Linked DNA regions of Bombyx mori. The protein of the gene in region 1 purifies or fractionates together with the protein of each later gene. This does not show direct contact. Links are inferred from orthologs where the notes say so. Each region holds a gene or a part of one and is shown in the gene's direction. Other genes may lie near its edges.

Region 1 (4,257 bases):
GTCTAAGGCTCTGAGAATAATTGCTGGGGCTATGCGTTCGAGCCCTATTAACGCTTTGCAGGTCGAATGTTCTGAAGCCCCCCTGCACCTCAGACGACAATTTCTTTGTGACCGGTTTCTATTTAGAGCATTCCAAGTTTATAATCATCCTCTTTACACTAAGTTACGGTCTCTGCTGGAATGTATGGATTATCCGTACTGGGCTCATAAATCGCCGCCATGCCTTATTGTTAGTCTCCAAAAGTACTTAGCTCTTCAAGCTCCTACACATAGATCACAATTCCTTCCAATATTTTGTGTTAACTATGATGCCCTAACTTTAAATCCATCTATTATGTTTGATTTCGGCCTAAGTAAACAAGATCTTTCTATCAATGCCAAATTTGTTGATATTATTGACAGTGACAGCCGATGGAAAAATTGTCATTTAATTTTTAGCGATTCCTCCAAACCCGGTCCCGAGGAGTGTGTGGGGGTCGGCATTTTCCATCAACAGTTTGGCATTGTTCAGAAAATAAAATTGCCTCCAGAGACTTCAGTATTTACTGGAGAATGTTTTGGTCTTCTGAAGTCTCTGGAGTACATTTTAATGATGAAGCTTAAAAAGTCAATAATTTTAACTGACGCTAAAAGTGCCCTCCAAGCCTCGGAACGTTTTCCTTTTAACAGTAACCGAAATAATCATCCTGTGATTATTGCATGTCGTGATTTATTGTATCAATGTTGCATCAAAAATTACACAGTTTCCTTTGCTTGGATTCCGGGGCATTCGGGTATCTTTGGCAATGCCAAGGCCGATAGCCTTGCCAAAGCTGCGGTCAATGATGGAGATTTGGTTCCGTACAAAAACTTTTGTTGTGATTTAGCTCTGCTTCCTAAATTCCAGTTATTGAATTCTTGGACTCACATTTGGCGTTCTTCAAGACAGACTAAATTACAGCACGATCCAGGTGGATATACCTCCTAAACCGTGGTTTTCAAATCTGACGTTTGGTAAAGCTATCACATCGACCCTTATTCGCATGAAGCTGGGCCATGCATGCATTCCCTTGCATTTGGCAAGGGAATGCACCTTTTGCCTAGTGATATATGTGAGTGTGGCAATGACGTTGGGGATTTTAATCATATATTCTTTGCCTGTCCTCGAAATGACCGTTCCGCTTTTATTTCCTCACTTTTGTCCATTAAAATTCCTTTTCCTACTTCAATTTCTATCCTTTTATCTAATATCAATATTGATGTATATAGAATATTAGCTAGTTTCATTTTTCATAATAATATAAAATTGTAACCATTTATGTACTTAGTTTATATAATATATATACCTGATCCTTTTTCCAAATTCCGTTCCAATTTCAAATCCAAAAAATAAATCCATTAACACACTTCCTAACCTTTTTGCGTGGCTGACGCACAAACCGTGCAGGCCAAGAAATGGGAGAAAAAAAAAAAAAAAAAAACATTGCATTTGCGCCAGAGACGTCAATGTCAAAAATAAGCCTGACAAAGAATTACGGACGAAATAATATAATTTGTACATAAAATATAAACAAAATATTCAACAGGCCATTAAAACTTCGCATAGGAAATTAATTCACGAAAAGTATATTGTAAGTACCTTTCCTTTGGATTATAAATATTAACTTTGATTTGCACATCTGTCATTGCAATAAGTACATACATCGAGATTGATTATTTTGGTTTTTAATGCTGAGTAATTCTACGTCGGGAGCCGGGCATTGGCATACAGACACCTTTGTCACATTGCCAAACAAATATATGATCGTGCAAAGTACGCATTTTACGTATTTAAAAGAAATCAAAATTGTTTCAACCCATTTAAATAAGTTAACCCCATTTGCCATCTATTCTTTTGAATCTATACGAATAATTTGCATAATTAGACAGCAACATTCGTCTATCAAGAATCAGTTCTATATTATTGAAGAAGACTTGCAGATTTTGTAAACATAGAACATAAGGACTTGGCACATAACACAGCTTATTGTAGTCCATTTCGTGTTAAGTAGATCAAAACAGCAAACGGTATTAAACCACGCATACAATTCAGGTATACAGCCCAATAGAATACATAAAATGAGAATTGCTTAATATTTACACTTAGGAAAACATAATGAGGTGACAAATACCTAATCCTCCATATTCGGATCATGATTTGCCAAAAATAATAAAGAATAATTGGACATGTATTATAAATATCCCCTTGTGACTAATAAGACCTTCCCTTGCTTTAGATCACAAGCTAAATAAAATATGAATGTACTTAGTGTTTATGCTCAAGCGTAGCTCCATCCATCATAACGGAACTGGTCCTTTACACCACCTAATTTATAGCAACGGTCAACCCACTGCAAAATAGATTTTGAGATTAGTCATAATGAATCTGGCCGAACAAAGTAAATAGAATAATTTGGGTAATAACCTGAAAAAGTTCTCAACTCTTCTCTTCACTGTTAGACACATAGACACAATATTCCAACAAAAATACTTGCTGTGTAAAAGATCTTCCTTTTTAAAATTTCTAGTATCAAACTGATATAACTTAAAAATAAACTGAATATTTTGATAATTGTAATTGCGATTTGATTCACATAATATGTATGTTTTATGGGATAGATGGGTATAGCAAATGTGGTTGCTCTAGTGTGTAGAAGCTACTAGATCCCACAGACACAACAAAATGGATACCTCTGCTACCTAAGTCTAACCTAACTGCTTTTTTAAATAATCCTCCACAAGCATTTTTTTTTTATTTATTATTTATTTAATATATTTTGTACACACAGCTGTTAGAAAAGACACGTCAATAAGGATACAGAGTACAAGGGCACTACTTATTTCATGCTGAAATCTCTTCCAGTAGGCCCGCAAAAGGAAAGAAGAATTAGGAACACAAACCTAGTGCATACAGTAAACATTACATATAATAATATATACATATTACAAGATACAAAACAATATATATGCATACAAATACACACACACACACACACATGCATATATATAACATACACACATATACTTACTTTATATTATAATACATTATACAAATATATATAATTTATTTAAGATGGTAAGGATAAATAATGTTCCTTAACAGATTTCTTGAACGCTGCTATGGTTTTGCACGCTCGTATGCTTGGAGGGAGGGAATTCCAAAGTATAACTGCTTGTACAGAAAACGATTTTGCGTAAGCATGTGTTTTATGAACAGGGCAATTGAGGAGAGTTTTAATGTGGGTTCTACAAGGAGCAATGGAGGGACGGGCATAGGTAAAGCGATCACGTAAATATTGTGGGTAGTTAGGATTATGTAGGATATTAAATAGGAAGCACAACATTCTAGTATTTCTGCGGAAACGGACTGGGAGCCACTTGAGCTTTTTGCGAAATTCAGAAATAGAATTCAGAATTTTTTGAGACCAAAAATAAAACGGATGCACAAATTTTGCAAACGCTCAAGCTTATTGAGAAGCTCCTCAGTGACATCCAAGTAGCAAGCATCAGCGTAGTCCAAAATGGGTAAAATGAGACTTTGGACAAGAGAAATTTTAGTTTCCAAAGGCAAAAAATATTGGAGACATTTGAGTGAATGGAATGTAAAGTTAACTTTACTGCTAACATTGTTAACCTGCTCATTCCAGCTTAAGAAAGAGTTAAAGGTAACGCCAAGGTTTTTAACAGTTTCACTAAAGACAATTGGTTGGCCATTCAATATGAGAGATCCAATTGCAGAATGATTTAATGCACGAATAGCATATCTACTACCAATTATGATGGCCTGTGTTTTGTTGGCATTGAGTAAGAGTCCATGAGACGTTGCCCATTCATGAATGTTTTCCAAATCACAATTAACATCCTTGATTGCTCCATCAATTTCACTAGGTGCGCAGTGATGGTAAATTTGCAAATCATCTGCATAAAGATGAAAATTTGAGGATATCAAAGTAGTGACTGTGTTAATAAACACTGAGAAAAGAAGCGGAGAGAGAACACCACCCTGAGGCACGCCAGCATCAACAGCAACCCAGTCTGAGAAGGATTCATTTTGACGTGTGCGTTGTGAACGGCCCCGAAGATATGAATCAAACCACCTTAGGGCAGAAGTAGTAATGTTTTCGCGGAGCAGCGCCGCGTCCTCGTTGCAAAAATAGGACCGGACTTGTCGCTTCCGACCGTCGTGGCTGCGATGCTCGGCAGCGATGAGTCCTGGCAGGCGATGCTCGACTTCTGCGA
Region 2 (4,295 bases), on another chromosome or scaffold:
CTACGACAAGAGGTTTCTCATGTGCCGCCTTCTTAAAGTGGCGCAATGATGCCGGCTGTAGTTACTTACTGACTAAGCCAAGTTCCAGGTCATCATGGAGATCCACGTTCCTTAGGAACCATGGTGCTCCGACGGCTATCCTGTAAAATCGGGATTGAATAACCTGAAGGGGTTTCAAGTTAGTGCGGGCCGCGTGAGCGAACATTACGCTTGCATACGTCATGACGGGGCGTATGCAAGTTTTGTAGAGTGTCACCTTATTACGGAAGGACAATTTGTTTCGCTTGCAAAGCATAGGGTAGAGATGTCCTAATATGATGTTCACGATTGACTTCCACGGTGAAGGAATAACATCGTGTAATAAAAATCAAACCCGCAAAATTATAATTTGCGTAATCACTGGTGGTAGGACCTCCTGGGAGTCCGCACGGGTAGGTACCACCACCCCGCCTATTTCCGCCGTGAAGCAGTAATGCGTTTCGGTTCGAAGGGTGGGGTAGCCGTTGTAACTATACTGAGACCTTAGAACTTATATCTCATGGTGGGTGGCGCATTTACGTTGTAGACGTCTATGGGCTCCAGTAACCACTTAACACCAGGTGGGCTCTGAGCTCGTCCACCCATCTAAGTAATAAAAAATAAAAAAATGAAGGCGGCACGGTCGTGTACCGTTTGGATATGGGGACGGAATGTTATACCTCTGTCGAGGGTGACGCCTAGATATTTGACCTTCGAGGCCCACGGTATGGACTGGCCAAAAAGAGTGATGGGGCTAACGGTGGAGGTGTTAACGCGCCTATTAGGGAGTGGGCTGCTCGAAGTGGTATTCGGAGGGCGACCCCTTTTGAAGAGCACCGCTGTGCTTTTCGTGGGGTTGATGTCGATGCGGCACTTCCGGAACGAATAATGACTTCTTGCTACACGAGTAGTAGATAGCCGTGTCATCGGCGAAGAGCGCTAGATAGGTCTCCGGAGACCGGGCTATACCTACAAACTGAGGTACGTGACGAGGGCGAGAGCACGTTCCTTCGACTCGATATCGGAACGAACGGTTCGATAAGAAGTCTCGTATAATGGGTTGAGTTCCACTTTAACTTTGTCATCATGTGTCGACATCAATGCGTATTAATGGTGGCTTCTTAACTGTTGAGCATCTATAAAAGTACATAATGTGAGAAAATGAAACAAAGTCGCTGGGAATGGCTTCACAGACTCGTCTAGAAAGTCCACTGAAGTATCAGAGAACAATCATTTTACTGTGCGTTTATTTTATTCCATCTCATCTCATTTCATTTCAACCCAATTGATTACAATCTTAAATAAATTAACTTCATCTCATTTCGTTCCATAATATGATTTTTCTTAAGATACAATAAGTATGTATGTAAGAGTTTAATAAATCAGGATTTTTATTATCTCGACTCTGCCAACAACAGTCATGCAAGAAGCTAATTGCCATACTAAAAAAAAGAAGAACATTATTTATCTATGATTTAAATTTTTAGATGTTAGAACACTGTCCTTACGTCAGAGGTTTTGGCAGCCCGCGGGTGAACTATTTTCTTCATTGTTGACCTTTCCTAAATCTAAGGTGTATTTATTTCATCACAATAAGATTTCTGGTTGTGCATTCACTATAAATCATACAAATTTAGTTAAAGTTTGCAACGATGGATTCGGAAGATGACACGAAAGACGATGTGGACTCGGGTAATGAGTCTAGTGGAGACGATGTCGACTTTGCAATGGACGTTGAAACTCATAGTACAAGGGAAAGACAAACTGAGCTTGAGGAGTATCCTTACGAGGTTTTGTCTACAGAGGAGATTGTCCAACATATGGTTGACTGCATTAAAGAAGTGAACACTGTCGTCGAGGTCAGTATGTTAGTTGTGAGCGTAAACAATGGACTAATTGATTGAGGTTACTCGTACAATGGTACACTTTGATAGAACCTTTTGTGTTGTGGACTAATTTAGTCGCAATTGATCTGACATGATATTTTTGACTGTAGGTATTGTTTATGGTTTGATTTTATTATTAGCAAACACAGTTTCTAAGAATTAAATCATCACAGGAAATCATTATTTGGCCTAATATAATCTTATGAGCCATAAAGCATTTTATGAAAGGTAAAAAGTCATTGGTATTTTTTAGAACATATAAAACTGTAAATTGATGACTAATAACTTTGTAATGCTGACTAATGTAATAGAACAAAAAGAGTGGTGCTTAAATAAATATTAAGCAAATACAAGTAGATTTCATATAACTAATTTTAATTCATCAAATATGTATGCAGAACAGAATAAGAAAGAATGTTATACATTCTTATTCAATGTTATACATTCTTTCTTATAATAAAAAGCTACAGTAAGATTCTAATAACAATTTCATTTGCATATATAATTAATAGTTTTCATTGTCAATTGCATTATTATGTACTATGATAATATTAAGGCCTAGAAAAGTGCTTATTGTTGATTAATATTGATTTGGAGATATTAATATGTTAACATGTACCTATGCTTTTTTGCATTAAGGAAAAAATCTGTTTAACTAAATATTCATTAAATGAACTGTAGAAATTATGGGTATGGTTTTGTGTTTGTGCTGAAGTAGTATATCATTACAATTTCAGCTTTGGAAACAACTTACTAACAATTATGAAAAAACATTACCCCAAAAGCAATAAACGTGTGGTTCCCTGCAATCTGATGTCATTATTATTCAATAGAGTGAGAGTGATCCTACAAGCACCAGACTAGGTTCTCCAGGAAGCTAGCTGTGGGGCCTGGGGACCCAGGGTCTGAAGCATAGCCACTCCCATTTGAGAAGCACATAAGTGGCTATTTGACCTATCTCCAAGCAGGCTTAGCACACATAACACAATCATGTCATGAGTGTGTGTAACATTGATTGCTCTACCTTTACTACTTGTAGTTCTCAGGTTGAGATGGAGTACTTGTTAGACTAATCTTCCATTGGACCACTTTAGCCCCTCAACAGATCTTTAAGGCAATTTAATCTGTCATTTTTTATATTAATGGATTACATAGTTCAATGATATTTTTTAACCTAAAGCGAGAGTCAGTTTTATTTAAATTTAAAATTTAAAATAGTAAAAAGCATTTTTTGAACTAGTAACAATCAATCTCTATTAAATATAAATTGCATTTCTGACAACAAAATTGAAATTAAAAAATGATAAGGCTCTCAGTAACATACTAATTATGTTTATATGAAACTAAGAAAAATGTTGATTTGTGTAAAATTTAACATTTTGCACTAAAACTATACTAATATATATCAACCTAAGTTAACAATAGCCAGTAACAAATTTTTACTAAATCTAAATAAAATACATTGATATGAAACTGCAATATTTCATTTAAAAATCTTTGAAATTGGCTCTTAATTGACTGTAACAAAAGTGAAAGTGATCATTGAGGAAATTTGTAACACTGTAAATTAACTGTAGGGACTAAACTAACTAAGTTAAGGGATCTCTTATCTTCAGTTTTTAGAAGCTTGTCTACTCATAGGACTTACAAAAAAAACTAGTGGATGTAAATAATTTGTTTGTGTTTAATAGTTTTGTTTTAGTGGTATATAATTATGTAAAAAAAGAAAGTTTATACAATTTTTTTCTTTACAATGTTAGGGAGATATGTAGCTATGAAGTCCCAACTATTTCACTCAGATAGTATATACCTGTCCTTGAAGATCCCCTGATTAAGTATTAAAAATTCTGATTTATGGTGTGTTAAAAGCATAAAAAATCCTGTCAAAACAGATTCCAGCAACAACAACAAGGATCTTACTGAATCATTTCAAATGGGACAAAGAGAAGCTTATGGAACGTTTTTATGATGGAGACCAGGATCAGTTGTTCTCTGAAGCTAGAGTTATCAATCCATTCAGGAAACCTGTCATACAAAGGCCAAAGGTAAATGTATTGCAGACTATCCTAAAAAAAGTAATTATATTACAACATGATTAAAAACATTTCATTACATTACCATATGTGTATATGCTAATGTAATCTTAATTTTTTATGCTATATTCATCAATATATGTGAATAATAGACATAATTAAATTTACTTTTGTGATGTAATCTTGCAATTTTAGAGTCATTATATTATTTCTAACATTTTAAATAGTTTACAGTTTTTGTGATGACTAACCACTAAACTGTTATTTATTCAAATTTGAATATTGTGTTGGGAGTCATTTGGAAATATTATAATGACAATAAAAGTTTCAAGTTAAACCATAAAAGTAGTTTATAATT
Region 3 (4,152 bases), on another chromosome or scaffold:
TCTCAACCGAACTGTCAATGAATGATAGCATAGATTATACACTTAATATATAATGACAGTATTACATCATAATACACGAGTGACACTTTCATTTCCATTATTGAGTTTCATACACTGAAGTAGGAAACCTAGTTTCATACTTCAGTGTTTATTGAGGAACTTTGTGGGAACTTTATTGTTTAGTGTCAAATTTCAAAATGAATAATGTCATTGTATAAAATAGAATTAGTACATTCTTATTTCATTAGATTTTTTTACTGAACCGACAAAGAAAAAATTACCCATAAAACCAAATCTAAAAAAGGCAAAAACATGTCAGTTTAATAAAATGTGAAATGGAATTAAATAATGCAACAGATTTATTTTTATTGCCCTTGCAGGTAGACAAGCATATGGCCTGCCTGATGGTAAGTGGCTACCGTTGCTCCTGGACATCAGCAATGCCGGGGCACAGCCAAGCCGCTGCCTACCGTTGCGTACTTTTCTTAAGTCTCCTTTAAAGATAGATCATCTGTAAAGGAGATTTATATATATATATATGTATATATATTTTATATATTATATATGGCGTTCGGGAAACACCGTAGAGGGAAGTTCATTCAAAAGCCGGATGGTACATGGCAGAACTCTTCTCCGATAACGGGTGATGTGATTATAAAATTAATATTATGGGATCATCTGAAACAATACATCAGAGCACACCCTATGGGACATACGATACAAAACCCAGAGACAATCGAAGTCTCTCTGTAGACAGAGAGCTCCAAGCGATACATGCGAACGGGAATATGGACAATCCGAACGTCTCTCTTCTGTATGAAGTCCAATGGAAATTATCTGATAGTATTTGAGAGCCCCGGCCCAGAGGTGAGAGCAGTACTCCACGCAAGGCCGGAATTGCTTTGTAAGGCCGAATTTGTTTTATATAGCAAAAATCTGTATCCAGGTGTGAAGTACCAAACACAAGTTTCGATAGTTTTTCCTGCATCATAATGAATGATGGCAAGAAAATAATTTCTTAGTAAAATAGCACCATTCTTGTAATAAAATTAACTCTTCTCATGACTGTTTTCTTTGAATTGATTTTGATTCAATTTTATTTGAGCCGGAATATATTTTTATTACATAATTTTTAGAAAATTAAGTGATTTATGTATCTAGCCAAAAGAGCGAGCGCATCTTTTACGGGATAGTTTCTTATTTCTTCATGTAGTTTTTAAACTAACATTTATTACGGGTGTGATACAGACTAAATTACTGAAAATAACAATAAAAAAGAAAGAGATTAACACATACCTATTTTATCATATCGCACAAATACATAATGTTTTGTCTTATCTCAGCTCAAATTTAATTCATTTCGTTCCGTTTTACTTTTTATACAACACTTATAGCTGTAGTCTTTATTTTTTACAAGATTATGGTCTAGTACCTCTTTGCCTAATATATTGATGTATTTAAATAAACAACTACCGCTGTCAATTTCTCATGTCAAAAAAATATCAATAATTCATGTTATTTTCGTCTGGGTTATTTTAAATGTAGAAAAAAGAAACAATTTATTTAAACATTTATTAATTCAAGCACATATATAATTTATCTGATACTACTATCACAATGGCTTCTCCTTTAGAACAATTTGTCAACAATGTGAGGACAATGTCGGCATCAGGTACCGTGCTATTATAATTCATGGAATAAAAAAAGTAGGCACCTGACACAATCGCAATCATAATAATAATATTATAATAAACCTGATTCTTTTTTAGGAAACAAATTTATTGGAATGTATTAGAACGTCATTAAATCAAACTTCATGGTACAATGTCTTATCTTTCAGGTAATTTTCGCGATTTATATGAGATTATTGCAAAATCAGATGAAGTGTTGCAGAGGAATAGCTTCCACCTCAATACAGTACTTGAAACTCTTGATATCCAACAGCATTCATTGGGTGTTTTAGCAGTCCTGGTGGCCAAATTTTCCTTGCCTCCGGTAAGTGTTTTAATTATGCATTCTAACTTTACATAAATTATTACAATGGCCTTAAAGTGTAATTGAAATCTAAATGTATGTTAAGTCTAACTTAAACTGTATCAAAATCTATATATTAATACATGAAGCAAGAACTTTGTATCCCTTTTTAAGAAAATTGCGCGGACGGAGGAGTATGAAATTTTCCACACTTATAGAGAATATACAGAAGAAGTGCATGATGTTAATATATTTTTTGAATAATGCATAAAAGATACATTAAATCAATAAAGAAAACATTACACACACTACATACCTTGTATTTGACGCACACACGCATGCATACTATTTATTGTCAAACTTTTGTTCTTGACGTCTGTTGTCAAATTGAAATTAAATATTGTTTGTCTTTGTTAATATTTTTTATAGTGTAGTCTTGGTGAAATTTGTGATTATAGAAGTATAAAATACAATCATAATAGTGTAAAAACTTACAATTCCAATTAATCATAGTTGAATTTCGACTACTGCGGGACCTCTAGTATCACTAAATATTCACAGCAATAATTATAACATATATTATATATATTTTATATCTATCAAGGCATTTTATGCCTAAACTCAAATTAAATAAATAATGGTTTAAAAATACTAACAAAATACGCTTTTGTAGAAAATCCAACTAAAAAATAGAAAATAAATTTGATTTAAAAATGGTGTAAGAAAAAATTATTTTATTGTAAAAAAGCATGGGGTGCATGGTGCATGCATGGTAAGGGGGTCAAAATCATGTTCAAAGATTCTGTTACATACTAACATACATACAACTGAAGCTAATAAAATCGTATTAAAAAGCTGCAAAGTCACCCAACATGAATTTTGAAAAAAATCTGTAGTAGTATATTTATTGATACTGACAAACTTAATGAGGTCCAATATTAATTTGAAAAAAATATCTCGTAATAATATAATGTTAACTTAGGTTTTCTCTTTGTTTTGAACTGTATAATGTTCTACAGCATGAAATAAACTGTTCATCACATATTAACTACTTTTATTTCTGTTTTCTGAATCAATATAACTTATGTACCTTACAGGGCAATCCAGAAGTTGATAGGTCAACTATGTATCAACAGTTTCATGATTTTATCAATAACTGCAATGGTGAACAAGTTCGATTTGCAACTGATTTATGTAAGTCTGCTTTTCATTTTGTCAATCTTTTTTAGTCAGAATGCTGAACCTCTATATATTTTACCTTCTTTGATATCTCTGAAAACTAGAGTTGACCCTGCTCATAGCCTAGTAGTATAATAGTAGCCTAGTAGTATAATCATGAGTGTTTCATAGTTCAGTGTGTGATTGTAAATACTGAATTTTTATCAATCAATTTATGTATAATACTTTATCAGTAGCATCTTTTGTGTATAAGCTGTGTGGCTGTGTGGTCTAATATTTCAAGTTAAAAACTGAGAAAAAAGTTTAACACAAACTCAATAAAATAAAATAAATACTTGTTAATAAAATAACCCTCATTTATTACAATATTTAATTATAGACAATCATAAGAAATATTTTCTATCTCTGAGTGCAAGGTCAGTAATACTCACGAATAACCTGTTATTATGCTAGTCACTAGCAGCTAGTGTAATTAATTCAATTTAAATATTAAAATTAATTTTTTCATTGGTCTATTTCTTAAAAAATAGTATCTTATCGCTTTCTCATCTTAACTTAGCAAAACAATTTAAATATGTATAAAAATAAATTAAGTATTTTAGATTTACGCTTATGTAATGGTTTTACAAATATTTATTGATTTAGATCTGCTTCTGATCTGTTATGTTTTGAGGGACGGGTCAGATGAACAATCCCATCACTGACCTATAAAGATTTTTTATGCTCATGAATCATCATTGATCTAGCATAACAGTCAAATCTTTCACTTGCTTCTCATTATCAGTATTATGTTTTATTTTTATGAAAAGGAGTACAATTTTCTTCACTAATACACTATTCTTCTTCCTCGTCCTTTCCTATTAGTTAATTATTAATCACTCTATTTATAAAATGCTTGAAACACAAAAAAAATTACTGTTAGAATGGCATATTGTTAACCACTAGTCCAGTCCAGTCAAGTCCACTTAGTCCTCCAGACATGCAGTCTAGACTAGTGAA
Region 4 (4,170 bases), on another chromosome or scaffold:
CATCAGAGAGAGAGATGCTCATTTATTCGAAATTACACTCAATTAGCCTTGTTTTGTGTCCAAAATCATAATTAGCTATCGGTAGTATGGCCAGCCTCTGATGCCAACCTCTATGGCGATCTTTGATTAAACCTCTATTTTTTTAATTTCGAAATTTATAATTCGCGTCTTAAATTACCCCAATTTTAAAGAATTTATAAATCCACTAGCTGACCCGGCAAACGTTGTGTTGCCTTAAATAAGATTTCTAGGGAAATTCTACTGTAGAAAAAAAAACCTCATTTAACCACATAATACCTCATTGTAAACAAAAAAAAATATCCAAAAAATTAAAATAAAAAATAAATGTTTGGGGTCGACAACCCTTTTCACTTAGGGGTTTGAAAAATAGATAGTAGCCGACTCTCAGACCTACTGAACATACTATTGATACACAAATAAAACCAAAAAAACATGGCTGAAAAATGTATAGTATTGTATAGCTCTCAAATATATTAAGTGTATAATCTATGATGTATAGTGAATAAGTAAGACAGGAGACCGGCTTCGTCTCATCCCTACTACGTGATGTTTGCTGGATGAGTGGTGACACCTGGCGGGGATAGCTGATCGATTGATAGTTGATCAGTAGTCGACCGGCGAGGGCGGGAGATCAAATTCAATTTAAAAAAAATCATAATTAAAGGAACTTGAAATTATAAACTCTGAATAAGAGTTTATCGTACTACAATTATAATATTTGATTGCCATCTTGCAACCTTATTGCGGATCTGTGCATAGAATAAAAAAAATATTGATCGGGATGGAAAAATAGGGGTTGATCGTATAAGAGTGAAAATTGAGAGTAATATAATTTTTTTTATTTTAAGTCATGACAAAATACAAACAAAATTCTCGCAAAAATTTTTAGAAGTTTTTAATTAGCAAATAAAAAATAAGGGTTGATCGTAGAGAGGTGAAAATTGAGGATTGTATGTATTTTTGTATGTTGTATCATAAAAAAATAGAAATGAAAAATTTTGTCTAAAAAATAAATAAAAAAATTTAGGGGTGGACTACCCCTAACATTTAGGGGGATGAAAAATAGATGTTGGCCGATTCTCATAGATACCGGATAAGCACAAAAAATTTCATCAAAATCGGTCAAGCCGTTTCGGAGGAGTATGGCAACGAAAACTGTGACACGAGAATTTTATATATTAGATTGAGACATTTTGCAACTCTGTGGTGGTAATCAATGATTGCAATCGAGAGATGGTTACAATCGATTAAAACTTGAAGAGTTAGTCAGAAATGGGTCTTTTAGTTATGGTATTATTTTCTATGGCAACACGAAGCTTATCGATGAACAAATGAAATACGGCAACGTCACGCTAGGATTGAAGTTCGCCAAGTAATTATTTGGCGTTATAAAAATTATAATAGTTCTTAGATTCTAACAATAAATTTTGAATAAAATGGCAGATAATAAAAGGTGAGTGCTAAATTATATTCGTCAAATATTCAAAACGGAGTTTCATGTAAAATTTACACGAAATCGGCGAAGTACATTGTGAATGCATTTCGAATTTGGCTTGTCATCATGTCGAGAATTAAACTTTTAAAGTGTAGTGATTTTTTTATTTTCATCAATGACCTACAACAGCAATTTTATTATTCTACAGCATTGTAACTTTCTAATGCAAGAGTACTTAGTTCTGAAAACAAGTTTGTTCTATTTAAGAGACGGTGAGATGACAAATTAACACAAAAGAATTTCGGCATTTTGAAATCATTCCTATAAAAATGAATGAAATTGAGCACCCGAACTCACCAAATTTTCGAAATATATGTTTAGAAATGTGTAATTAAGTGAAACATCATCCTCAGCACCAGTGATAATCAGTTTGAACTTATGTCCAAAAATCATTAAAAAATACCAATACCATTTTAAATACAAAAATCTTAATGAAAAGACATTAATCCTTCTACTTAAACCAAACAAAACCCAAGTATTTCTACTAGTGAGAAATAAATGTTAAACTGAAGAGTAGTCATAATTGTCTTGTATTCCAGCCCTGATGATTTATCGACCGCGATCCTCCGTCGCAAGGACAGACCCAACCGTCTCATTGTCGAAGAAGCAGTCAGCGATGACAACTCAGTCGTGGCACTTTCACAGGTCAGTGCTTTGTCTCTGGACAAGATGTTTGGTTCATTCACTAAACCTTAAATAGCAATATTAGTACTTTTGCTTTGAACAAAAAAAAAGTAAATTTCGTCTGTCATCCTAACCTTCAAATAATAAAATTAACATAAACATAACACATAAAGGTTTTTTTTTTCAAATCAAACAAACAAAAGAACATCCCTAAAACTATTGTTTTGTTAATAAAATACAGTATTTTGTAAGACGCATAGGCACCATGCAAAAAAAAAAAATGTAACTACTGTTTTTAATAATTTAACAATAAAGAACAATGATTAAAATGTCTCTGTCCTTCCCCATTAATCTATAGAAAAGAACGAACCTTTGTAACATAGTTTATATGATGCAAAATATCCATTGTTATAACCATCAGAGTTGAATAACCTTTTTATCTCTTTAGGTCAATAGTAAAGCTGTAAGACTACTTTTTTTATTTATTCATTGCAAAGATGGGTGAATGTCCTCACGGCCTATGTGAGGAGTCCATAGACATCATAATGTGAATGTGACACCAACCTCAGTTGCCTTGAAGCTGTAATTCATTTTGGTCCAAAGAGTAGATTGAGTGACTGTTATAACTGTAAAACTGAGACCAGTTTACCACTTAACATCAGATGGGTCCTGAGCTTGTCCATCCATCGTAGCAATAAAGAAAAGAAAGAAAAAAAACTGTATGACAATGGCCAACCTATCTGTCAAATTGGAATGCATGACTGCACTCAACCCAGGCTTATAATACCACCGGTAAACTGTTACTGTAGTAAACTGTTGTCCAGTGTTTTTCAACTGATTATTAAATTTATAAGGTCTATTCCAAGTTATGTGAACTTATGTATGTTATACTCCTCAGCTTAAATATTTTATAGGATTTTAGCAAATGAGATGTCAGTTGGTTGTTTATTTTTATTTTTTATTTATTTATTAGACACACAATATATAACTAAGTAAAAAATCTGGTAACACAAGCGCTAAGAAAAGACAAAATAAAAACACCTAATAAAAGTGATATGTCATATATTATTTCAACATAGTGTCTCTGACAAAATTAATAGAGGAATAATATTTATTCATTGTTTTTTATAATTAAAGATATCTCTTACCAAAAACATTATCTGTTTAAGTCTGTTTCCTGCATAGAATGAATTTATTTTACAGAATCAATTGACTAAAAAGTATGAAATAAAATTAGTTACCAAGTGGAATAAAAAACTCACTTTATTTAAAATAGGAACTTAGAAAAACCTGATCTATATTGTTGGTACTACCAACTACTGTTTTGTTTGTTACCAAGTTGGTAGTGACCATTAAGGAAAACTTTGGAGACTTTGATTTAAAAAATACTACAGTACAGTACAATAAACGAACAGTACCTAAAAATTCTGAAGGGGCTGAAGAAGATTTGTGAGTTTAAGCTTAGGGCTATATTATGAATGTGTTAATGCTTCTCAACGAAACTCAATATTTTCGGACTGGTTAAAAATATACGTGGTTCTCCTAACGAGGTTTATAGAGAGTCCTTAGTAGTGGGCAACGTCTTGGTTGTGGTTCTGGGATCACTGACTTCTATAAGCAACAGTAATTTCTCACCATTAGGTGGACCGAGTGATTGTTTGCCTACAAGGTCAATAAAAAAAAAACTTGTATTATCATTATAAAAAAATTACCATTTTGTTGTTTGATTGTCAATCAGATATTGACAGTAAAGTCCTGTATCCGTATTGCCTGTCAATAAAAGCTTATAATAAACAATGCCCTTCCGATGCTAACATATGCTTAGAATCTATCTACTGTGAATTTACGTAGGTTTCGCTAGAGTGCCTTTGATTACACATAAACATTTACATTGATTATACATAATCACAAATTAATACACAAATCACTACGTTTCTTTCTATCAGCCTGTGTGGCACCGAAATATCCAGCTTCTGAAAGATTGTACTTGAGTGATGTATCAAAACTGTTACTGCAAGTTTTACTAATGC
Region 5 (3,941 bases), on another chromosome or scaffold:
ACACCCACCACAAAAGTCTATAGTGAAACCAAACTTATGTCTGTAAAACAACTGTATACCTATAGCACTTGTTTACTAATAAGAAAAATATTACACAAGGAGATACATTCTAAATTGACGTTTACTAAAAAAAAGGAACTTCAAAACTATCGTAATCGAAATGCCGAAAACTTAATCACTACCAGATCTAGAACTAACTATGGACAACGAAATATATCATCTGAGGGTGTCAAACTGTATAATATGCTGCCTTTAGATTTAAAAAATATCAAGTCATTGAATGTATTTAAAAATAAATGTAATGATTATATAAGAAAAAATGTTCCCATAATATAGTTTCTAAGATAAATTTGTTAATAATAATAATATCCATTTATTTCAGACAGTTACATCCATAGAAATGATAGTATTGTTACTTAAGCCTACGTTAATAACTAAAAATACTAAATTCAATTTAAAGTAATTACCCAATTCCATTAATTTATTTTCGTTTATTTAACAATAACTTCATATTTATACCTAAATATAAACAGGAAAGAAATATAATAAACAATGAAATGAAAAAACAACGAAACTAACAACCTGCAAACATTTAACCAATGCCACATCCATGCGAACTAGCTCCTTGTGGCGCCAATATCTACCCGCCACCGAGCGGCCGGCCGGCTGGTCGAGGCGATCTGCTGTGGTAATTAATCTACCCTGTTTATACATTTTAAGAAAATAATAATCTTTATAGTTTTTGTTAAATGTATTGTTTATAGCATAGCGTCGCATGTTGTTACTGTAAATTATTGTCATGTACTGCACGATCTGAAGTAATTGTAACTATTTTAATGTTCTCATTTAAGTGAATTTATGTAATTCTTTTGAGAATAAAGAATATCTTTAACCCGAATTATCAAAATAAAACAACTCACAAAAGTTGGTGTTTTTGCCAAAAAGTCCTTTGTCTCACTTCATATTCAAATTATTTTCGATAATTAGTATTGATTTATAGTAAAATGACTAGTAATGTCGGTAATTAGCGCGTTCCATTTACGGACAACAGACAAGGAATCGTGTATTTTTCACATAACATTTCGTTGTACGGACGTTATTTCCTTTGCCTATCCAATTGACGAATTATTTGTCATCTCAATACCCACTGTCAATTTCTGATTTCTAGTTTCTAGTTTCGTCAGTCAACCAGTTTGTCGGGGATATGGTAGATTCCTTTTAAAAAAATATAAAAATAATATAACAGTTTAATTTGAAGCTACCGTCTTTTTTTTAAATTCCATTGCAACAATGAAATGGACAGTGCATATCGAAGGGGGACCGATGAGAGTCAATCATGCAGCTGTATGTATTGGCGATAAAATCTATTCGTTTGGTGGATATTGTTCCACTGAAGAATATAAAGATTGGGAGCCAATACCAGTCCATATATTGAACACAGCAACTCTAAGATGGACCTCTGTAAACTATAAGAGATCAGACGTAGTCCCATTTCAAAGATATGGGCACACAGCAGTTGCCTATGGTCACAAGGTATGTAGGTATAGTCTTTCTTTTAGGCTATTGTAGTCGATGTTATTTGTATTCTGTCATTTCATTGTTCCAAACAGTTTAAATTCTTAAAAATATCTCGCCTATTTGATTCTTCTATACCTACTATTCTGTGTTCAGGTATATATGTGGGGCGGCAGGAATAATGCGGTAGCATGTGATACTCTCTCGTGCTTCGACACAAAGAAACTCGAATGGAGCACCCCGCAAGTGACAGGAATGGTGCCATATGCTAAAGATGGACATTCAGCATGTGTCATTAAAAATAAAATGTATATTTTTGGAGGATTTGAGTATCTCACTGATCAATATTCTCAAGAAGTCCATTGTCTTGATTTGGACACACTTCAGTGGACCTTTATAGATGCACAAGGCACTCCGCCTTCCCACAGAGATTTCCACACTGCAGTAGCTGTCGGAGACCGCATGTTTGTCTTTGGTGGTAGAGGTGATTTAAATAGTCCATATAATTCTCAGGAAGAAATTTATTGCCCGCAAGTATATTATCTAGATACAATAACAGAGACATGGGTAGCCTGTAATCCTACTGGGATTTGGCCAGAAGGGAGACGCAGTCATTCTGCATGTAAGTTATAATATTTATCTGGTTATCAAAGAATCTCACAAATATATTACATATAACTGTGACCCCTTTTAAGTGGGTAGCAAATCAAAAGTTAAGCTTAGCTTAGCATTATATTTAGTTATTTTTCATACATGTCTACAGACTGCAAATTATATAGACTAGCTGATGTAAACAATGTGCACTCAAGTTGTCTATCTTATTTTGCTGCTACTTAAGCTAATCTTAGTGTCTTGTTTTACTTTGTGCACTTGTTTCTCATCTTTTAGTGTCGTAACTACTCAATCAATACTTACTTCGCCTTGACATAATTGTGGATGTAGGTACATGCAAAAAATTTCTACTTTATCTACTATTCATTTAGCTGAGCTTTGCTGCAACTTATCTGTAACCAGCTTTAGGATAGAATTTTAAATAATGAATCTTAAAATTGCAGTATTGTAATATTTTAAATAGCTTATTTTTTAATGTAAATTAAATCATATGCTATTTTGTTGACAAAATGAATATAATTAGTATATTAATTTATATTAATATAATATTTAATAATTAAATATATTAATTTATAATTAATATTTATTAAAGTTACTTTCTTGTACTTTAGGGCTCTACAATGATTTCATGTACATTTTTGGTGGATTCAATGGAAATACCAGGACACACTTTAATGATCTTTATAGATACTCAATTAAAGGAAATTTTTGGCAGTTTATAAATGTGACTGGTTCAGTTCCTTGCAAGAGACGACGCCAAGCATGTCTTATTTATGAAGATAAGGTATACCTGTTTGGAGGCACAAGGTAAAATATTTTTTTCCATAACTGTCCTCAGACACACTTAATTACTATCAAATGTAGGAGACCATAGATTGTGCTGAACTGAATTTATCTTTTACTTTGAGAGGGTACAATTTCAACAAAAGATTTCAGTGTAAAAATAAATAAAATTTTCATTAAAACAAAAAAATACAGTACATCTTTCGTGCATTGCAATTTTAAAATATTTAAGGCTTGAAAAAGTTAAAGTATGAATTGATTGTATGAGAGTTATTCCACCATACAAAACATAGACACATCCCAGTTAGACAGCAGAAACAAGCTGGATGGTGATGTCTATTTGTGCAGTTTCACAATGCATAAATAATTACGCAATGAATAAAATTTTCACGATTTTGTGCTTAGATCACTAGATAGCTAGATTTCACATGACATCTTAATAGTTTAAGCCAAAAATTTCTTATTTGACTTATTGCTTAAAAATACGTTATGCCCTATGTACAAATACATATTTGTTTTTCAGCCCTTGCCCACATGTTAACAACAGGCCCATTGATGAAAATGATGCAAACCCCGAGAGATTAATTGATAACAGTGATTTACATATACTAGATTATACCCCAAGTCTGAAGACTCTATGCATCATAGCTGTACTTGCTAACAACCTTGACCAAAGCACACTTCCGCGTGATATAATGTAAGTTACATAAATGTATAATTAGTACACAACTTACAAATTTAAATTTGAAATCAGTATGTAAATTTCTCGAATTGTCCAATAGTGTTACAATACTACACACATAACAGTTATTTAACTTTACAATTATTCTTTCAGTATGGATATTTGTGCCATGACATTACCAAACCGCATCAGCAGGCCCATTAATCAAGCAGGCTGAAATAATCTATTAACTGAACACTTCTATTGATAACTTTGGAGCTTATAAATATATAATATGTAGTACCTATCAATATCAATATGGAAATGTTTAGTTGTTTTGATTTTCCTTTTTTTAGACTGATAGTTTAAT
Region 6 (4,169 bases), on another chromosome or scaffold:
GTGCATTGAGAGTAAAATTTAACTCACGATAGATTCGTAACGACTAGAGAGAACAGATACAATTTAGGACCAGCGAGAGGGAGAAAATATACAGAGCGTCTCGCGAACCACACGACCTTGAAGAGAGCGAGAAAGCGAGCTAGATTGATTTTTTTATACACATTCTGTTTACGGGCGTTGGCCACTAGATTGCTTGTTATTAGTTTCTCATTGCTCCTGTAGATGGCAGTAACATATTATCTATCTTAAATTTTATTTTTAACTATGGATTAAAAAAATATATTTTTCTATATATAATTTAAAATATATATAAATGGAGAAGAGATCGTTTCTCTAATACATAGTATTCCCTATTGCAAGAAAAAATTGATTTAAGTTTGAAAAATGAAGAAAACCGTAATACTACACACTGCAAATTTAGTTACACTTCTTTCACGTGTCACGTGCCTCAAGTTGCACGCGCACCTTTTTTTTTGTAATTCACAACAAATGTAATAGGATAATTTTGTATAGTAAAAAAAAACTCATTCATCAATAATTGTATTTATAAAAATCCTAATTATATTATTTCCAATTAACAACAACTTACCTCTGCAATCTGCATATTTGAAGTTATAGTAATAAAAGCAGAAAATAATGATAAATTATTTTCATACTTGGCGCTCAATATACAGGGTATCTCAGAAAGAATTGATAATACTGAAACACCTCATAGTAGAGCTATTGGGGACACAAAATAAAAAATAAAAAATAAAATCTTAGGTAGCACCCAAATTAAAAATAAAATAAAAATACCAAATTTCATTATTAAAATTGAAGTTCAGATTAACTTTTATAAAAAATTACACTGGCTACTCATGCGATTTTCTACATATTCCTTAGTATAGTCCATATAAAATATTATAACACCAAAAAGCTTATGGATTTCATTTATTTGTAGCTGTTATATATTCCAGAAACGCACAGCAGTATGGAAAATATCAACTTTTTTTTAAAATACATAATTTGGGTACTACCTGAGTTTTTTTTATTTTTATTTTTTTTTGTGTCCTCAATGGCTCTACTATGAGGTGTTTCAGGATTATCCATTCTTTCTGGGACACCCTGTATATGAGTAAGACTCTGTAAGACGCCATAAGCCTTTTAATTTATAAAAAAAATAATTATGTTAGTAAAAAAGGTTTTTTTGTAACCGAATATTGTTAGTTTACTAATTTGCTGATTAAAAATTTACATTACCTACTCATAATATGGTTTTGAAAGAAACGACTGTTTAGACGATAAATTTGAAAAAAAAAACATGACTATTTTACGGCCCTGAACACAATGCTGTTGGCCTATAATGGTCTCGATGCCTTTGGCTTGTAATTATCTACAGTGAGTACTGTTCAATAGAGGTCTGTGTACCTAAAAATGCAAAATAAAAAATTGACAAAAAATCTATGGTCACTTAAATGAGGTTTTAGTTTTACCTAGTTTTTTGCAAATTTTTTCTCGTGTGAATTAATGTTGATTAAACTGTTTTCAACTAATTAGCTCTCGTTAGGTCTTAATATTTTAAAATTATTTTTGGAAGAGACACTGATAGGATTTGCACAATGGCTAATGTGTCTTACCATATAGCACATCTTCTTGAGAAGGTAAGCCGGTTAATTTGTTAACTAGTTCAATGTTTTCGTATCTAATAAGCTCGCATTTATTGAGGATTTTCTATTTATTTCGTAGATGACATCCAATGATAAAGACTTCAGGTTTATGGCTACTAATGATTTGATGACAGAGTTGCAAAAAGACAGTATCAAGCTCGACGATGATTCTGAAAGAAAAGTAGTAAAAATGCTTCTACGATTACTCGAAGACAAGAATGGTGAAGTTCAGAATTTAGCTGTGAAATGGTTCGTTTGATATTTCATAATTCCAAGCACAATAAATCTGAGTATCAATCCTGCATGTGATTCAATCCTGCATGTGATTTAACTCCCAATTTTTTAAGTTCTATTCAAACTACTTATGAAAAAGTATGGTAGAAGATAAAATTTCAATATTCGCTGTCGCAGATTTTTGTCATAGTTTTATGAAATTAGATAAGTTTCCTTTACAAAGTCAAGTCTAATAGTCTCAGTTGTTCTGTACTTTTATCAGTGTTAAATTTGTAAAATTACATAACTTTTTCTCAATTTAAACCAAATTCACTTAGGTATTTCAACTTTCTCATACTAAAAAAAATATATGTTAATCTTTTGCTCTATTGCTGCAAGAAAGAAGCACACACCAAAATATAGACTTTACTGATGATAATATTGTTAAAGTCATAATTTTATAATACTGTATACTGATATTAACAAACCAGTACCCTTGACAATAATTCACTTTCAGCCTCGGTCCTCTTGTAAACAAAGTAAAGGAGTATCAGGTGGAAGGTATAGTTGATACACTTTGTGCCAATATGCTTTCGGATACTGAGCAGCTAAGGGACATCAGCAGCATTGGATTAAAGACTGTAATTTCTGAACTCCCACTGGGTTCCAATACTCTTGCTGCTAATGTTTGTAAGAAAATAACTGGTAAATTGAGTAGTGCTATAGAAAAGGTACAGTATAGATGTTTAGATATTTCACTGGATTGTTCAATTTATTGCTCTCTTCAAAAAATAAACATGTCATTATTCTTCTTAATTTTTTCAGCAAGAAGATGTTTCAGTTCAACTTGAAGCACTTGATATTCTTGCTGATTTATTGAGCAGATTTGGTGGTTTATTGATATCATTTCATCCTATGCTGCTCAATTCACTGTTGCCGCAGCTTGCATCTCCCCGTCAGGTATACAAGTAGCAATGAAAACACCTGTGATCCAATTATATATTATTATGTATCCAAAGTTTGTAGGCTAACTTTTGGTTGTCCCGATATTTCAAAGTTAAAGGAGCCTACAGGAGCAGCTGTTGCTACCTTCATTGTCCCATTTGGACTCTTGATTATTATGTTTCTTGGTGGTTGGTCATACATTTCGGGAACACTTTATTGTTTACTATCAACATATAAAATAATAATGAAAATATGTAATGTAATAAATATTAAAATTAAATGTTCCATGCTGATATTAATTATATAATGCAATAGCAAGTTAAAATTTTATTTAATCAAATTATAAAGGTTTTTTGTCTTGTGAGCTGTGGTCAACTATTACCAAAAATGAAGAATTAAGGCAACCATAAATTTATTTGCAAAGAAAAGTAATTAACTATCTTAACTATCTTAACAGGTAATTTGTAGCTGTTATGGGTTAGGTGCTTTCACTATGTGTATTGTTAGCAGATATCTCAAATATACCAGTTTGAGCTGTGGGACAATTTAGGCACAGTATAAATTCAAACATTGAACTTATGTCTTTTAGTGGATGGCTGCATTCATATCCTAATATCTTTCAAACTCTGGTAATGACATAGAATTAGGTAGGTGGTGAGCTATCACCTAACGATATAGTCCATTACAAAAAAATTATGAAATATATATATATATAGCAAAGTATGAAGGTGTACGTTGATCCAAAATTTACGTAATATAATATTAAAAAATTCCAGGCTGTTCGCAAGCGCACCATAGTTGCGTTGTCACATTTGGTCATGTCTTGCAATGCTTCGCTTTATAACAAGTTAATAGACCATCTACTGGAGGGTCTGAGCTCTTCAACTTCATCAAGTGTCAGCCGAACACACATACAGTGCATTGCTTCTATATGGTATGTTGTGAGTTAATTGACATTTTTGTTCATTCATATTTTAATTTTGCAGCATGTGTAGGATCTAGGCAAGAAAAATTATATTAATTAGACTAAATTCTCTTGAAATTTGTTTATTTTAGTCGTCAAGCTGGACACCGATTTGGTGAACAATTGTGGCGTGTGGCACCATCAGTTTTGGAATATTCAAAAGATACAGATGAAGAATTACGGGAACATTGCTTGCAGGCTCTTGAAGCATTTGTCCTCAAGTGTCCTAAAGAAGTCCAACCACATATACCTACGGTAAATAGACATAATTGGATTTTTTTATTTTCATTGCCTATATAGATGAACAAGCTCAGGGGTCAACCTTGTGTTGTCAGTTATTGGAGCTCATTTACATCATGTACATGTACATTCATACAAGAATGAAGCTTTGAGACAAGAGG

Evidence for each region.
Region 2: the proteins of cullin-2 (region 1) and E3 ubiquitin-protein ligase ariadne-1 purify together in Homo sapiens (affinity purification with western blotting; 3 studies listed by BioGRID and IntAct, with this or other methods). This does not show direct contact. The link is inferred for Bombyx mori from reciprocal best matches to the Homo sapiens genes CUL2 and ARIH1.
Region 3: the proteins of cullin-2 (region 1) and COP9 signalosome complex subunit 3 purify together in Homo sapiens (affinity purification with mass spectrometry; 5 studies listed by BioGRID and IntAct, counting the BioPlex papers as one, with this or other methods). This does not show direct contact. The link is inferred for Bombyx mori from reciprocal best matches to the Homo sapiens genes CUL2 and COPS3.
Region 4: the proteins of cullin-2 (region 1) and Ter94 purify together in Homo sapiens (affinity purification with western blotting; 3 studies listed by BioGRID and IntAct, with this or other methods). This does not show direct contact. The link is inferred for Bombyx mori from reciprocal best matches to the Homo sapiens genes CUL2 and VCP.
Region 5: the proteins of cullin-2 (region 1) and kelch domain-containing protein 3 purify together in Homo sapiens (affinity purification with mass spectrometry; 5 studies listed by BioGRID and IntAct, counting the BioPlex papers as one, with this or other methods). This does not show direct contact. The link is inferred for Bombyx mori from reciprocal best matches to the Homo sapiens genes CUL2 and KLHDC3.
Region 6: the proteins of cullin-2 (region 1) and cullin-associated NEDD8-dissociated protein 1 purify together in Homo sapiens (affinity purification with western blotting; 7 studies listed by BioGRID and IntAct, with this or other methods). This does not show direct contact. The link is inferred for Bombyx mori from reciprocal best matches to the Homo sapiens genes CUL2 and CAND1.

The regions. Positions count from the first base shown.
Region 1 is NC_085129.1:21,461,517-21,465,773, reverse strand, and holds the start of cullin-2, read left to right. Parts: upstream 1-1,457; 5' UTR 1,458-1,610; intron 1,611-4,257.
Region 2 is NC_085127.1:9,591,301-9,595,595, reverse strand, and holds the start of E3 ubiquitin-protein ligase ariadne-1, read left to right. Parts: upstream 1-1,495; 5' UTR 1,496-1,670; coding exon 1,671-1,877; intron 1,878-3,796; coding exon 3,797-3,949; intron 3,950-4,295. UniProt on the Homo sapiens protein: E3 ubiquitin-protein ligase, which catalyzes ubiquitination of target proteins together with ubiquitin-conjugating enzyme E2 UBE2L3.
Region 3 is NC_085119.1:8,374,090-8,378,241, reverse strand, and holds the start of COP9 signalosome complex subunit 3, read left to right. Parts: upstream 1-1,352; 5' UTR 1,353-1,617; coding exon 1,618-1,672; intron 1,673-1,840; coding exon 1,841-1,995; intron 1,996-3,071; coding exon 3,072-3,168; intron 3,169-4,152. UniProt on the Homo sapiens protein: Component of the COP9 signalosome complex (CSN), a complex involved in various cellular and developmental processes.
Region 4 is NC_085125.1:11,209,088-11,213,257, reverse strand, and holds the start of Ter94 (transitional endoplasmic reticulum ATPase TER94), read left to right. Parts: upstream 1-1,370; 5' UTR 1,371-1,457; coding exon 1,458-1,474; intron 1,475-2,055; coding exon 2,056-2,161; intron 2,162-4,170. UniProt on the Homo sapiens protein: Necessary for the fragmentation of Golgi stacks during mitosis and for their reassembly after mitosis. Involved in the formation of the transitional endoplasmic reticulum (tER).
Region 5 is NC_085118.1:7,557,037-7,560,977, forward strand, and holds the start of kelch domain-containing protein 3, read left to right. Parts: upstream 1-1,141; 5' UTR 1,142-1,290; coding exon 1,291-1,533; intron 1,534-1,671; coding exon 1,672-2,137; intron 2,138-2,738; coding exon 2,739-2,934; intron 2,935-3,433; coding exon 3,434-3,607; intron 3,608-3,745; coding exon 3,746-3,809; 3' UTR 3,810-3,941. UniProt on the Homo sapiens protein: Substrate-recognition component of a Cul2-RING (CRL2) E3 ubiquitin-protein ligase complex of the DesCEND (destruction via C-end degrons) pathway, which recognizes a C-degron located at the extreme C terminus of target proteins, leading to their ubiquitination and degradation.
Region 6 is NC_085111.1:7,841,576-7,845,744, forward strand, and holds the start of cullin-associated NEDD8-dissociated protein 1, read left to right. Parts: upstream 1-1,369; 5' UTR 1,370-1,598; coding exon 1,599-1,640; intron 1,641-1,725; coding exon 1,726-1,895; intron 1,896-2,376; coding exon 2,377-2,590; intron 2,591-2,684; coding exon 2,685-2,819; intron 2,820-3,580; coding exon 3,581-3,738; intron 3,739-3,860; coding exon 3,861-4,023; intron 4,024-4,169. UniProt on the Homo sapiens protein: Key assembly factor of SCF (SKP1-CUL1-F-box protein) E3 ubiquitin ligase complexes that promotes the exchange of the substrate-recognition F-box subunit in SCF complexes, thereby playing a key role in the cellular repertoire of SCF complexes.